Saccharomyces cerevisiae S288C: one gene and its partners. Changing the gene in region 2 together with the main gene of any one other region gives a genetic interaction. Each region holds a gene or a part of one and is shown on either strand. Other genes may lie near its edges.

The links.
Region 1: mutations in LRE1 (region 2) and PMI40 together harm fitness more than expected from each alone (negative genetic interaction), as found in Saccharomyces cerevisiae (one large-scale study listed by BioGRID).
Region 3: mutations in LRE1 (region 2) and IRC19 together harm fitness more than expected from each alone (negative genetic interaction), as found in Saccharomyces cerevisiae (one large-scale study listed by BioGRID).

What each region holds. Positions count from the first base shown.
Region 1 is NC_001137.3:157,471-161,229, reverse strand, and holds PMI40 (mannose-6-phosphate isomerase PMI40), read left to right. Parts: upstream 1-2,111; coding exon 2,112-2,142; intron 2,143-2,235; coding exon 2,236-3,494; downstream 3,495-3,759. Other genes in the region: YND1 (apyrase), read right to left, coding at 1-680; FMP52 (Fmp52p), read right to left, coding at 955-1,650; NOP16 (Nop16p), read right to left, coding at 3,732-3,759. UniProt on the Saccharomyces cerevisiae protein: Involved in the synthesis of the GDP-mannose and dolichol-phosphate-mannose required for a number of critical mannosyl transfer reactions.
Region 2 is NC_001135.5:33,865-37,623, forward strand, and holds LRE1 (Lre1p), read left to right. Parts: upstream 1-2,000; coding exon 2,001-3,752; downstream 3,753-3,759. Other genes in the region: SPB1 (27S pre-rRNA (guanosine2922-2'-O)-methyltransferase), read left to right, coding at 1-110; PBN1 (Pbn1p), read right to left, coding at 279-1,529. UniProt on the Saccharomyces cerevisiae protein: Overexpression affects chitinase expression, cell separation and budding pattern, and increases trehalose accumulation and heat resistance by inhibiting protein kinase CBK1.
Region 3 is NC_001144.5:71,568-74,747, forward strand, and holds IRC19 (Irc19p), read left to right. Parts: upstream 1-1,841; coding exon 1,842-2,534; downstream 2,535-3,180. Other genes in the region: putative AAA family ATPase RIX7, read right to left, coding at 1-1,579; YLL032C (uncharacterized protein), read right to left, coding at 2,703-3,180. UniProt on the Saccharomyces cerevisiae protein: Involved in sporulation and maintenance of the mitochondrial DNA. Is probably involved in a pathway contributing to genomic integrity.

The DNA of each region.
Region 1 (3,759 bases), on a different chromosome or scaffold from region 2:
AAAACGTCCCATTTCTGCAAATCTCCGTTAACACTCCTCAAGAAGATGGTGGCGATGTCATCTCTATGTCTAGCTATTTCTCCTGAATCATGCGGTGCAAACGCAATCTGAGTAGAGGCACCGCCCATGTCCATAAACCCAAATGTAAAATGGTCAGAGACCTCTGGATTATAGTCATTAAAGTGTCCATATAGATAGTTTAAGCCAAGCCAGCCATATAAACCTTCGGTTTCACCATCAATGACTTGAATTTGTGCTGAGCAATCCTCAACCAAAAATTCTGCAGGGTGTTTGAGCCCCTGACACAAACCATCCAAAATGGAAGATTGTATGTCTTGAGGTAAAAGGCGCATGCCCGCGGTTGCTTGAATAAAAACGGGACAACTCGACCAATGTGATTCAGGGATAATATTCTTAGCAAAATCTAGTAACGGCTTGATGTGAGATTTGTACGCATCTTGAGGTTTTTTTTCAAAACTCGACAAGCCTGGATTCAGCTTAAAAGTCCAGTCTTTTTCTTGATGAATATGAGGTACTGATTGTAATATGGACTGTGAGTCCTGGTTTGTTGCATGAAGAAGCGATTCCGTGTCCTGCCACTTAAACACATGGATTCTCGAACCCGAAGACCCTGCATCTATGACGATACCAAACCGATCATTAGTGTTTTCTATGAGCATAAGAGGGCAGACGGGGAAATAAAAAAAGCCACGTTAGATATAGTATTTTACTTTATACAGCTAAAACGCAAATACGATATATACGAACGAAATAACATGACGATAAATCTCTGTTTATCATCGTTTCTTTAAAGAAAATAATGAGGCGAAAAAGTAAAAAAAGCTATGATTGTGTGAAGTTGTTGAAAATCCGTAATTCATTGAACCCGTACGCGCGCAAAAGTACGTCACAGTAAAATACAACTGTAGCTGCGAGAAGAAGCCGTTGGTTGATTTAGGTAGCAATCTTCTCCAGAGAAGCTGAGATGTCAAGAATGTCCTTGCTGGAGACAAACTGAACCTTGTCTTTCCCAGAAGTATTCAACGCCAAATGAACACCAACTTTTCCTACCTCATCGCCATAAACTGGATAGCCTAGCAACCTCTGGAATCTAGAACGGTACACGCGAGTGCCCAAAGCAGCAGTCAGATTGCCGCCAAATCCGCTTTGTTTAGAATTTGTCCGTTCACCAAGGAGAGGGCCTGGGCGCAAAATTATAATGTGCTTAAAATCAAGAGCGATAACATCGCGTTCAATCTCGCCCTTCATCTTCATGTAGCCGAACCTGGAGTCCGGATGAGCACCAGCGGAAGAAACGAGAACGATCGTTTCACATCCTTTTTCCTTGGCAGCCTGGGCCAATTGTAAGTTTAAATCATGATCGATCTTGTATTGCTTGTCCAAACCGCCTGCAGCTGCCCTTGTCGTTGCCAGTGCGGTGAATAGCACCTGCGGATTCATTTCATTGGTGATCAATTGTGACCACTTTGAATTATCCCTTTCTACTATGGCCACAACTTTATCAGTGGCCGGAAAGGGCAATTCCCTTCTCAAGATCGCGTATACCTTAGAGAACTGGGGTGCCTCCTGTGCGTGCCTCAGAAACCCGCCTCCGCATAAACCTGTAGCGCCTAATACCAACCCATTCATCGTTGCTTGTGCTCTTCTATATAATCCATCCTATCTTTCTCATCAGTAGGAGGTCGATCTTATGCAAAGTTCGCCACCAACAGCTGCAGTTACATCATATCGCGGAAACTCCGCACTGGCATCGTGCCGCGCGACAAGCGCAAGGATGAGAATCATGAAAACCTTGCTACAACAAGATGCCAATAAAGTCGTTCCCTGATATAGCTAGTACTTTGCGGGAGTAATTTGTTATTCTGCTTTCTTTTGCACTTTGATCATGCCAAGTCTCGTGGTGCACTATCCATTTCGTGCTGCTTGGTTATTGTAGCAATTTTTTGTCGCGTCCGTGTCCTTTTTCGCCGCGATTTACGTATTTAAATATACACGTCGCAATCTTAGTATATTTCTGTATAAAATGTTTGTTTCTTGTAATCATTCAACACTAAACACGTAAAGAACATCAGACCAGAAAATTTTAAAACATGTCCAACAAGCTGTTCAGGTTAGATGCAGGTATGTGCCATTTTTCGTCAAATATTTTGAATACTTTGAGTATTTTTTTTTTTTTTTTTTGGTACACTAACTAACGCGTACGACTCTATGTAGGCTACCAACAATACGACTGGGGTAAAATCGGCTCTTCTTCAGCTGTCGCTCAATTTGCTGCCCATTCTGACCCCTCTGTTCAAATTGAACAAGATAAACCATATGCAGAGTTATGGATGGGTACCCACAGCAAGATGCCTTCCTACAACCATGAGTCTAAGGAATCCCTGAGAGATATCATCTCCAAGAACCCCTCTGCCATGTTAGGTAAGGACATTATTGATAAGTTCCACGCCACAAATGAATTGCCCTTCCTTTTCAAAGTTTTGTCCATTGAAAAAGTCTTGTCTATTCAAGCACATCCCGACAAAGCCTTGGGTAAAATATTGCACGCTCAAGATCCTAAGAACTATCCTGATGATAATCACAAACCTGAAATGGCCATCGCTGTGACTGACTTTGAAGGTTTCTGCGGGTTCAAACCTTTGCAAGAGATTGCAGATGAATTGAAACGTATTCCTGAATTACGCAACATTGTTGGTGAAGAAACTTCCAGGAATTTTATTGAGAACATTCAACCTTCTGCTCAGAAAGGTTCCCCAGAAGATGAGCAAAACAAAAAGCTATTGCAAGCTGTTTTCAGCAGGGTCATGAACGCTTCGGATGACAAAATCAAGATTCAAGCTCGCTCCTTGGTCGAAAGATCAAAGAATTCTCCATCAGACTTTAACAAACCTGATTTACCAGAATTAATTCAAAGACTGAATAAACAGTTCCCTGATGACGTGGGTTTGTTTTGTGGATGTTTATTGTTGAATCACTGCAGATTGAATGCTGGTGAAGCCATCTTTTTAAGAGCTAAGGATCCTCACGCCTATATAAGCGGTGATATTATGGAATGTATGGCTGCTTCTGACAACGTAGTTAGAGCAGGCTTCACTCCAAAATTCAAGGATGTTAAAAACTTGGTCTCCATGTTAACCTATACATATGATCCTGTGGAAAAGCAAAAAATGCAGCCTTTAAAGTTCGACAGGTCCTCTGGTAACGGTAAGTCAGTTTTATATAACCCTCCAATCGAAGAATTTGCTGTATTGGAGACTACTTTTGATGAGAAACTTGGTCAAAGGCATTTTGAAGGTGTTGATGGTCCAAGTATCTTAATCACTACAAAAGGTAATGGTTACATTAAAGCAGATGGCCAAAAATTGAAAGCTGAACCCGGTTTTGTCTTTTTCATCGCTCCACATTTGCCTGTTGATTTGGAAGCTGAAGATGAGGCGTTTACTACCTATAGAGCCTTTGTGGAACCAAATTAGCTTTCTTTCTATTTCTTAATTTTCTTATATCTATAATAGAGAAAATATTATACTTATTTATTTGAAGTCTACTTTATTTCACAGTTTTCTATTTGCTTCTCACGTTCTATAATATAGTGGAATGGAAATATCAAACATAATTTGCTGTTCTCTAAAACACTTGATATTGATGCATAAAAACATATATAGATACATATATAAATATTACGTGGTAATCAATTGGTAGTTGCCATTGGTTTATTTTGATGCAATACCGTTTCTTTTT
Region 2 (3,759 bases):
CAGGTAGACCAAAGGGCGTTAAGGGTAAGTATAAGATGGTTGATGGTGTCATGAAGAATGAACAAAGAGCCCTAAGACGTATCGCAAAGAAGCATCACAAGAAAAAGTAGTAACAAAGAGCATTATTTTTCCATTCCCTTGTATAATATTGAAAATAAAGGAAAAGAAAGCAATAGATATATTATGTATACATAGAATTAATCAAATTATCATCAAAAAACTTATAGGAAACCTATCGTTTTGAATTCAGAAAATACGAGTGCACAGTAGAACAATTTTTATTCCCGTTTTACTGATCTTTTCTTCTTGTTGTTACCAAATACCTTGGAGAAAATGTATATGATGGAGATGAGTAAGCATAGTAACGTACCATTTTTGATCTTGGAATAATCCTTTGTGTCAGGCCTTGGAATTGGTACTAGAAGAGTTGTCGAGTTCAAATGGCGGAATGTAGTATCGTCTGTAAAGAGAGATTCATATCCTAGACCTTTTTTATAAAATGGATTACGGGAAACTTTATTGTCACCTGTGTCGCAGGCTAATATAACTTCTGGATCAAATGAAACTTCTAATTTATCCCCTTTATTATTAGAAGGCTCAATATATCTAGTATGCAATGTCACTTCATTCATTGTGCCGGCTTTCAATTCAAAGATACTTTCAGAACCCCATGCCTTATCTCGAAGAGAGTATTCTGGTAATTCTAAGTCGTCTTCTCCAAAAAGTAGTAAGGGAGAGGATTGGAATTTATCGATAAATAATTCTAACGGCAATTGCAGGTGCATTAGATACATGCATTTAGGGCGTTCTTCGAAATCTGTGAGATCAATCATGATTTTTGGATGCAAACCGATAGGTTCATTCAGATATAGTGATGTCGTAGTCGTCGAGTGATTGTATGCGATATGGCCCTGTTTATACAATAAGGATGTTTTCTGACATCTTTCCATTTTACCATCGTCCATCCTCCAATTACAACGTATTCCACCAATATCGACATCACTTTCATCACTTGCATCCACAAAGAATACACCTACTTCGAGTTTCTCATCTTTCACTCTTGCAATTGTAAATTCTTCACCCTGTTTCAACAGACGATATTCAACAATTTGGATTTGTGTGGGCTCCACTGATATATCATATGTAAAATCTTCTGGATTCCATGACAGATTCAAATCTACTTCGGGAGGCAAGTACTGCTCTATGTCAAACTTCTCACTGTGAAATGAATTGTAGACTGGGTTAGTAATAAACCTTTCCGGCACATCCGAAGAATTTGAGTAAACTGAAAAGCCAGCACTCAGTTCATTTTCTATAACGCTTAAACTTCTAGCCAAGTCCGCTCTGGGCCTCCAAGTGATTCTCGTAAAGGATTTATCCAAGCTTCCAGTCCTCTCTAATAGCCACCTTTGTTGTAAAACCACACCAGAACCTCCACGAACAGTCAAATGAGTGTCATTTTGGCGCATATGATTACCGATATCCTCAGGGGCATTGTAGAGTACAGTCACTCTATGTCTTGTCACCATTACTCAGCTAGAAACGCACACTTCTTGCGTTTATTCTCCTCCCGATTTGATTATGATTAGCGTTTCCATTATTTGATCTTTTTTATCAGGGGGATCTTCAAAGAAAGGAACTTTTTTTAGGAAAAAAAAAATAATCATCTTTTATTACATGTGTAATACTTCAAGCAATCATAAACAAGAGTTAAGAAGGCAAAGTTCTGCTGTTAGTGTGTCCTCCAATACTCTTGCACGACAAAGTTTTAGTTATCCCCTTCTACGTGTATTGTTCCTCCGTGGTCGATTGTGTTCAAAGATTGGGAGCTCTTTTCGTGTTTTGCACTAAGAGCATACTGTTAATCCGCAAAGGCCACTAAAACTTACCTGCATTTGTCTACTTAAAGATACATTCCAACTATTTACATTCATTTTTATTTCTAAAAGAGCATTCTGAACCCTCGGCAATTATTTCATACTCCTTCTCAGAATAGGAAAATGCCCAATACGCATACTCAACATGTGCAAATATCAGAGCCAAATCCTGTAAATACTTTGTCTACACCATCCAAAAGAGGTCACCGCCATCGCAGATCGCTAGCAATATCAGGAGATTTTGATTTTTTGAAACAGCCTGCAGCAATTGTGAATTTACCACCTCCACAGGCGGCTGAAAATTGTCCTTCAACTGCCCCAACTGCTGTATCAAGTACATTATCGCCAATACGCTACAATAGATTTCCTTGCAAAACCAATGAAGACGCTGGAACGTTAGATTTGCCTGAACCAAGATTTTATCCGTTATCACCAAAGAACAATCTGCAAACACCAAGTCCACGATTTTTCATTAGTGAAGAGCCAAGTTTTTCATCGCCAGTTAAAGGCGTCCCAGATGCCATTATTAACCTTGACGATGCGTTGAAGACAAGGCCTAGGTCATTTAAATCACATAGAAGATCTGAATCCGCTCCTCCTGATTTGGAGGTTATGGTAGATAAGGGCAATTGTGCAGCCGGTTCTAACTCTATGATTAAAGAAGAAGAGGACTCCTTAATTGAACCAGAATCGAAAAATGAATATTATGAGCAAAAGCTTCCAACAGCACTATTATCCCCACTGCGGCCTTCCCTTTGTGTATCTGAACAGGCCATTGATGTAGATGATTCAGCTCTCAATGGGTCACCGACCCATCACAACCATGGGATGCAAAACGCCAATGCACGGAATTCCAACACATTCAATTCGTTGAAGATCAAAGGCCAAAAGCAAAGATATTATCATTATACGAAGCAGCTACCTTTGACCGTAGGCTGTGACTCGCAATCTCCAAAAGAACAAAGGTCGGCTGCTTCAATGACAATCAATCAGGCAATGACACCTTCTTCCCTGGCCTATACCCCTTCTAAACTAGCATCTACTCCCGCAACACCAGTATCCTTTTATGACAGCAATGCGGACATTAACTTAGAAAGTGATAATTTTCCACTAAAAGATAACCCTAGATATGCCAAGGATGGTTATCCTAAAAAGTGCGGCAATTCACAGCTTAATCGTGTGCTGGATAGCGATAAAAGACAGGATTTTAGTGGAGAATCGAGAAGAAGAAGATCGGGCAGTCCTATCTCCCACATGCAACACCGCAACCTGATTGATAATATGAAAGGTAGACGAAACAGTAACACGATAAACTCAATCTTCAACTACAAGAGTCAACATTATGAAATGCCATATGATGATATGATGAAAAATGAAAACATTAATGCACAGTCCATGCCCTTTTCAGTCAACGGTGTCAACAATGAAAATAGTATCGGAGGGGTTATTACGAGAGCGGACGATGCACCCCTTCAACACTCTGTGGTCAAATCCTGTACGCCTGATGGCAAGGAAGAAATGAATAGGCTTAAAAGTAATGACAGTAATGAATATTCCAAGTCTGAAGGGCAGATCAGAACCAATTCGCAACTAAGTAAGGACATTCTCATGGGTGAACCAGGTGATATGGTTGATCTGTCCTCTTTTGTCAACGCGCAGAGAAAAGCCTCAAATGAAACTGGTGACTTAGTCTTTAGTTTATCCCAGGATGATGACGCACTGAAAACGTTCCATGCGAGCAACAGCGCAGCAACAAGCAATGAAAGCTGGTGTATTAGCGATGATGCGTTAGGAAAGCAGGCGCAGGACAGTGAAGTTAGGAGGAAAAGAAAATCCAAATTAGGACTCTTTAGACATATTTTTTCAAGGAAGTAATACAACA
Region 3 (3,180 bases), on a different chromosome or scaffold from region 2:
CCGTAGCGAACCCTTCTCTCTTTGCTGTTGGTTGAATTGTTGGCAACGCTTTCAAAAAATCTTCGTACTTAATCGATAATAATGATAACTGCTCTCCTGATAAAGGCTCAGGATAATTACGAATAAATTGTTGGACTACGGATAAAGGCAACGGATCGATCATATTCGCAGTGTTCTTCAGGCTAGATTCATCTCCGTTTGCTGTTTCATCAATTTCCATGTTATCTTCTGAACTGTCCGTTGCCGTAGTTGGTGTGGATTTTATATTAGCATAGGTTTGGAAAATTCTTTTAATAGCGCATGTACCGGCAGCAGTAACTAAAGCCTTTAAATCAGCGCCAACAAAGCCTGGGGTTAATTTTGCCAATTTGGCAAAATCGATAGCACCATCAATTTTTAGGTTATCAGACATTTTCTTTAAAATATGTAACCTTGAGACTTCATTCGGGACATTCAGGCATATTTCTCTATCGAATCTACCTGCTCTTCTCAATGCTGCATCCAAAGAGTCAGGTCTATTCGTGGCACCTATGATAATAACAGGTTTTCCATTTGTCTTTTCCATCGTTAATTCATCCATTGAGGTCAATAATTGGGCAACTATTCTTCTCTCCATTTCTCTTTGGGCTCCTCCATCACGTTTTGGTGTAATGGCATCTATTTCATCAAAGAAAACAAGACATGGTGCCAAGCTTCTCGCTTCATCAAACAAATCCCTAATCTTTTTCTCGCTTTCCCCAGACATACCACTTACGACTGAAGGTGCAGAAATAGATATAAATGGGACTTGTAATTCTCCAGCTAACGCATTAGCAATCGACGTCTTACCGCAACCCGGTGGGCCATGCAACAGAACACCTCTAGGTGGTTCGACACCCGTGGATAAAAATATCTCTGGATGAAGAATGGGTAGACCTATTAGTTCCATAAGTTGTGCAACGACATCATCCATACCACCTAAGGATTTCAGAGACGAATTAGGTGGAGATCTATCTTCCTTGATTTTTTGACGTTTTACCTTACATGTACCTTCTTTGGATCTTTTTTTAGATTTTTTAACCTCTTCTGTCTTAGGATCATCAGTTTCTGTTATAGACTCGGAAACAGATCCAGATTTGGACCACGTGCTAGTTATGCGTTTGTTCATCTCATTTGTGTCTCGCTCAATCATCATATTTTTCTTAGCTAGTTCTTCTTCCAAGCTTGGTTTCTCTTCCTCTTCGTTGTTGTAACCTGGGTAAGAACCAAATTCTTCCAATTCTGATTCAATCACGTCTTTTAGCATGCGGTCAATTGTCTTTTGTAAGACAACTTTCTTAACTCTTTGAAGTGATAAATCTTTAGTCAAACAAAAGGTAAAAATCTCACCTGCTGTTAAATCTTTAGCGAAAAACATGGATTCAAATATATCCTCATCTTCTTCACCCTCGTTGTTCTCGCCCTCTTCTCCTTGGGATTCTTGTCTCAGAGACCTTTTTCTGTCCAAAGTTTTTTCTTCCAAGAGACGATAGATAAGATCGACGATCTTGTTATCTAGAGAACTTGTTAATGAGTTCTTTTTCGACTTTACTTTAACCATTATTCCAGCCTTCCCACCACGTAGCTATTATCGGCCCTAATGATCTTTTATTCTAACTGACTCGCAGATTAATTCACACATCGGTTGTTAATCATTGTTTGAATTTCCAAAATATGCGATGAGCTGAATGAAAAATTTTGGAACCTGTCACTATCGACGAACATCGAAGTTTGCCATGACAACCATATATGAAGAAAGCTTATGAGACTAGCTCGAGTATATCATACGTATGCATGTTAATCGCAGTTAAGCGGATAACACAATGCGTAAGCCTTCTATTACGATAACAACAGCAAAAGCTATTATAACTCCAGACTATACTCTTATTAAATCGCATTCTAAATACCAACTTCCTTCACGTTTTCAAAAGCTAGATGCAGACTCACCTGAGAGAAGTACAGTTGTTAAGCTATTTTACCGCCGATTTATGAGGCTTAAGCCTTTCATATCGAATGTGAAAATGGTTAAAGATACTTACAGGGATTATGTTCGATATAAGTTTATGAAAGAAAACTACGAACTCAAACGATACTTGGTATTCAATCCTGATGGCTTGAGGTCGAAAATCAATCTTGAGCTTCTCAGCAACACGAAATGTTGTGAAAGGATACTCCCCGTGACTGAGATGCAAAGAACCTTGGAATTTGTTCTGAAGAGCTGTTCATACTTGCCCGAAACAAAAGTTCAAAAGTGGGATATTGCAAGGGACAACACATATTGCAGGCAAATTTTAAAGAACCTTTTAACAATGCAATATGAAAAGTACAGATCGATTTTGCATAGAGGAATAGGCCATGATGAGCTTGACGTCAAATTCTCTCATTTGAAAACTACTTCTAGTCCGCTAACTAAGCTAAATAAAACCGAAAAGAAAAAGATTCCGCTTTTCAAAGTATTTAGTGATTTCGATACAACATTGATATATCTCAATGAGACATTAGGTACAAGGTTATAAAGATCATTATCGTAAAAGAGGAGCGGAGCGGAGCTTTTTAGTATGTATGGTAAAATATCAATCAAATACTGTAATAGATGCGGATATGCGCAATGACATATTTTGTGGTGTGCATATCCATTGAAAAGGTGCGTAGAACGTTACAATACTACTGAACTTTTTTCCTTCTCATTTTCTGCCATTTTGATATTTATGCCTATTATTGGTTTGAGCTTTATTAGAGTTGGCATAATTATAATCGTACTCGTATGTATATCCGTATCCATACCCATATCCGTTGTAATAAGTGTTTGGTATATATCCTTTGATGGCTTGGGCTCCTCCTACCGTCGTTATAACAGGCATTTTGTGGCGTTGTGGTGAGGCTCCTGATTGGCTGGTATTATCGATGGTCGTACGACTTTTGGCATTATTCATTGATCTGAAATTGCCATTGGTATTGCTATTACTGGTGTTACTCTTGCTGGAGGCAGACCCTAGAACAAATTTTTTAATTATTTTTTTAAATATTATTTTCGTCTTTTGTGTTTCCAAATAATTGGATAGTAATTCGATTGCTTTTGTTAGAGTATTCTCATTAGTATCCTTTTCAAAAGTAAAAGTGATAAGGTCCTTCTCAAAAGTTACAATTATGTTCATAATTTGC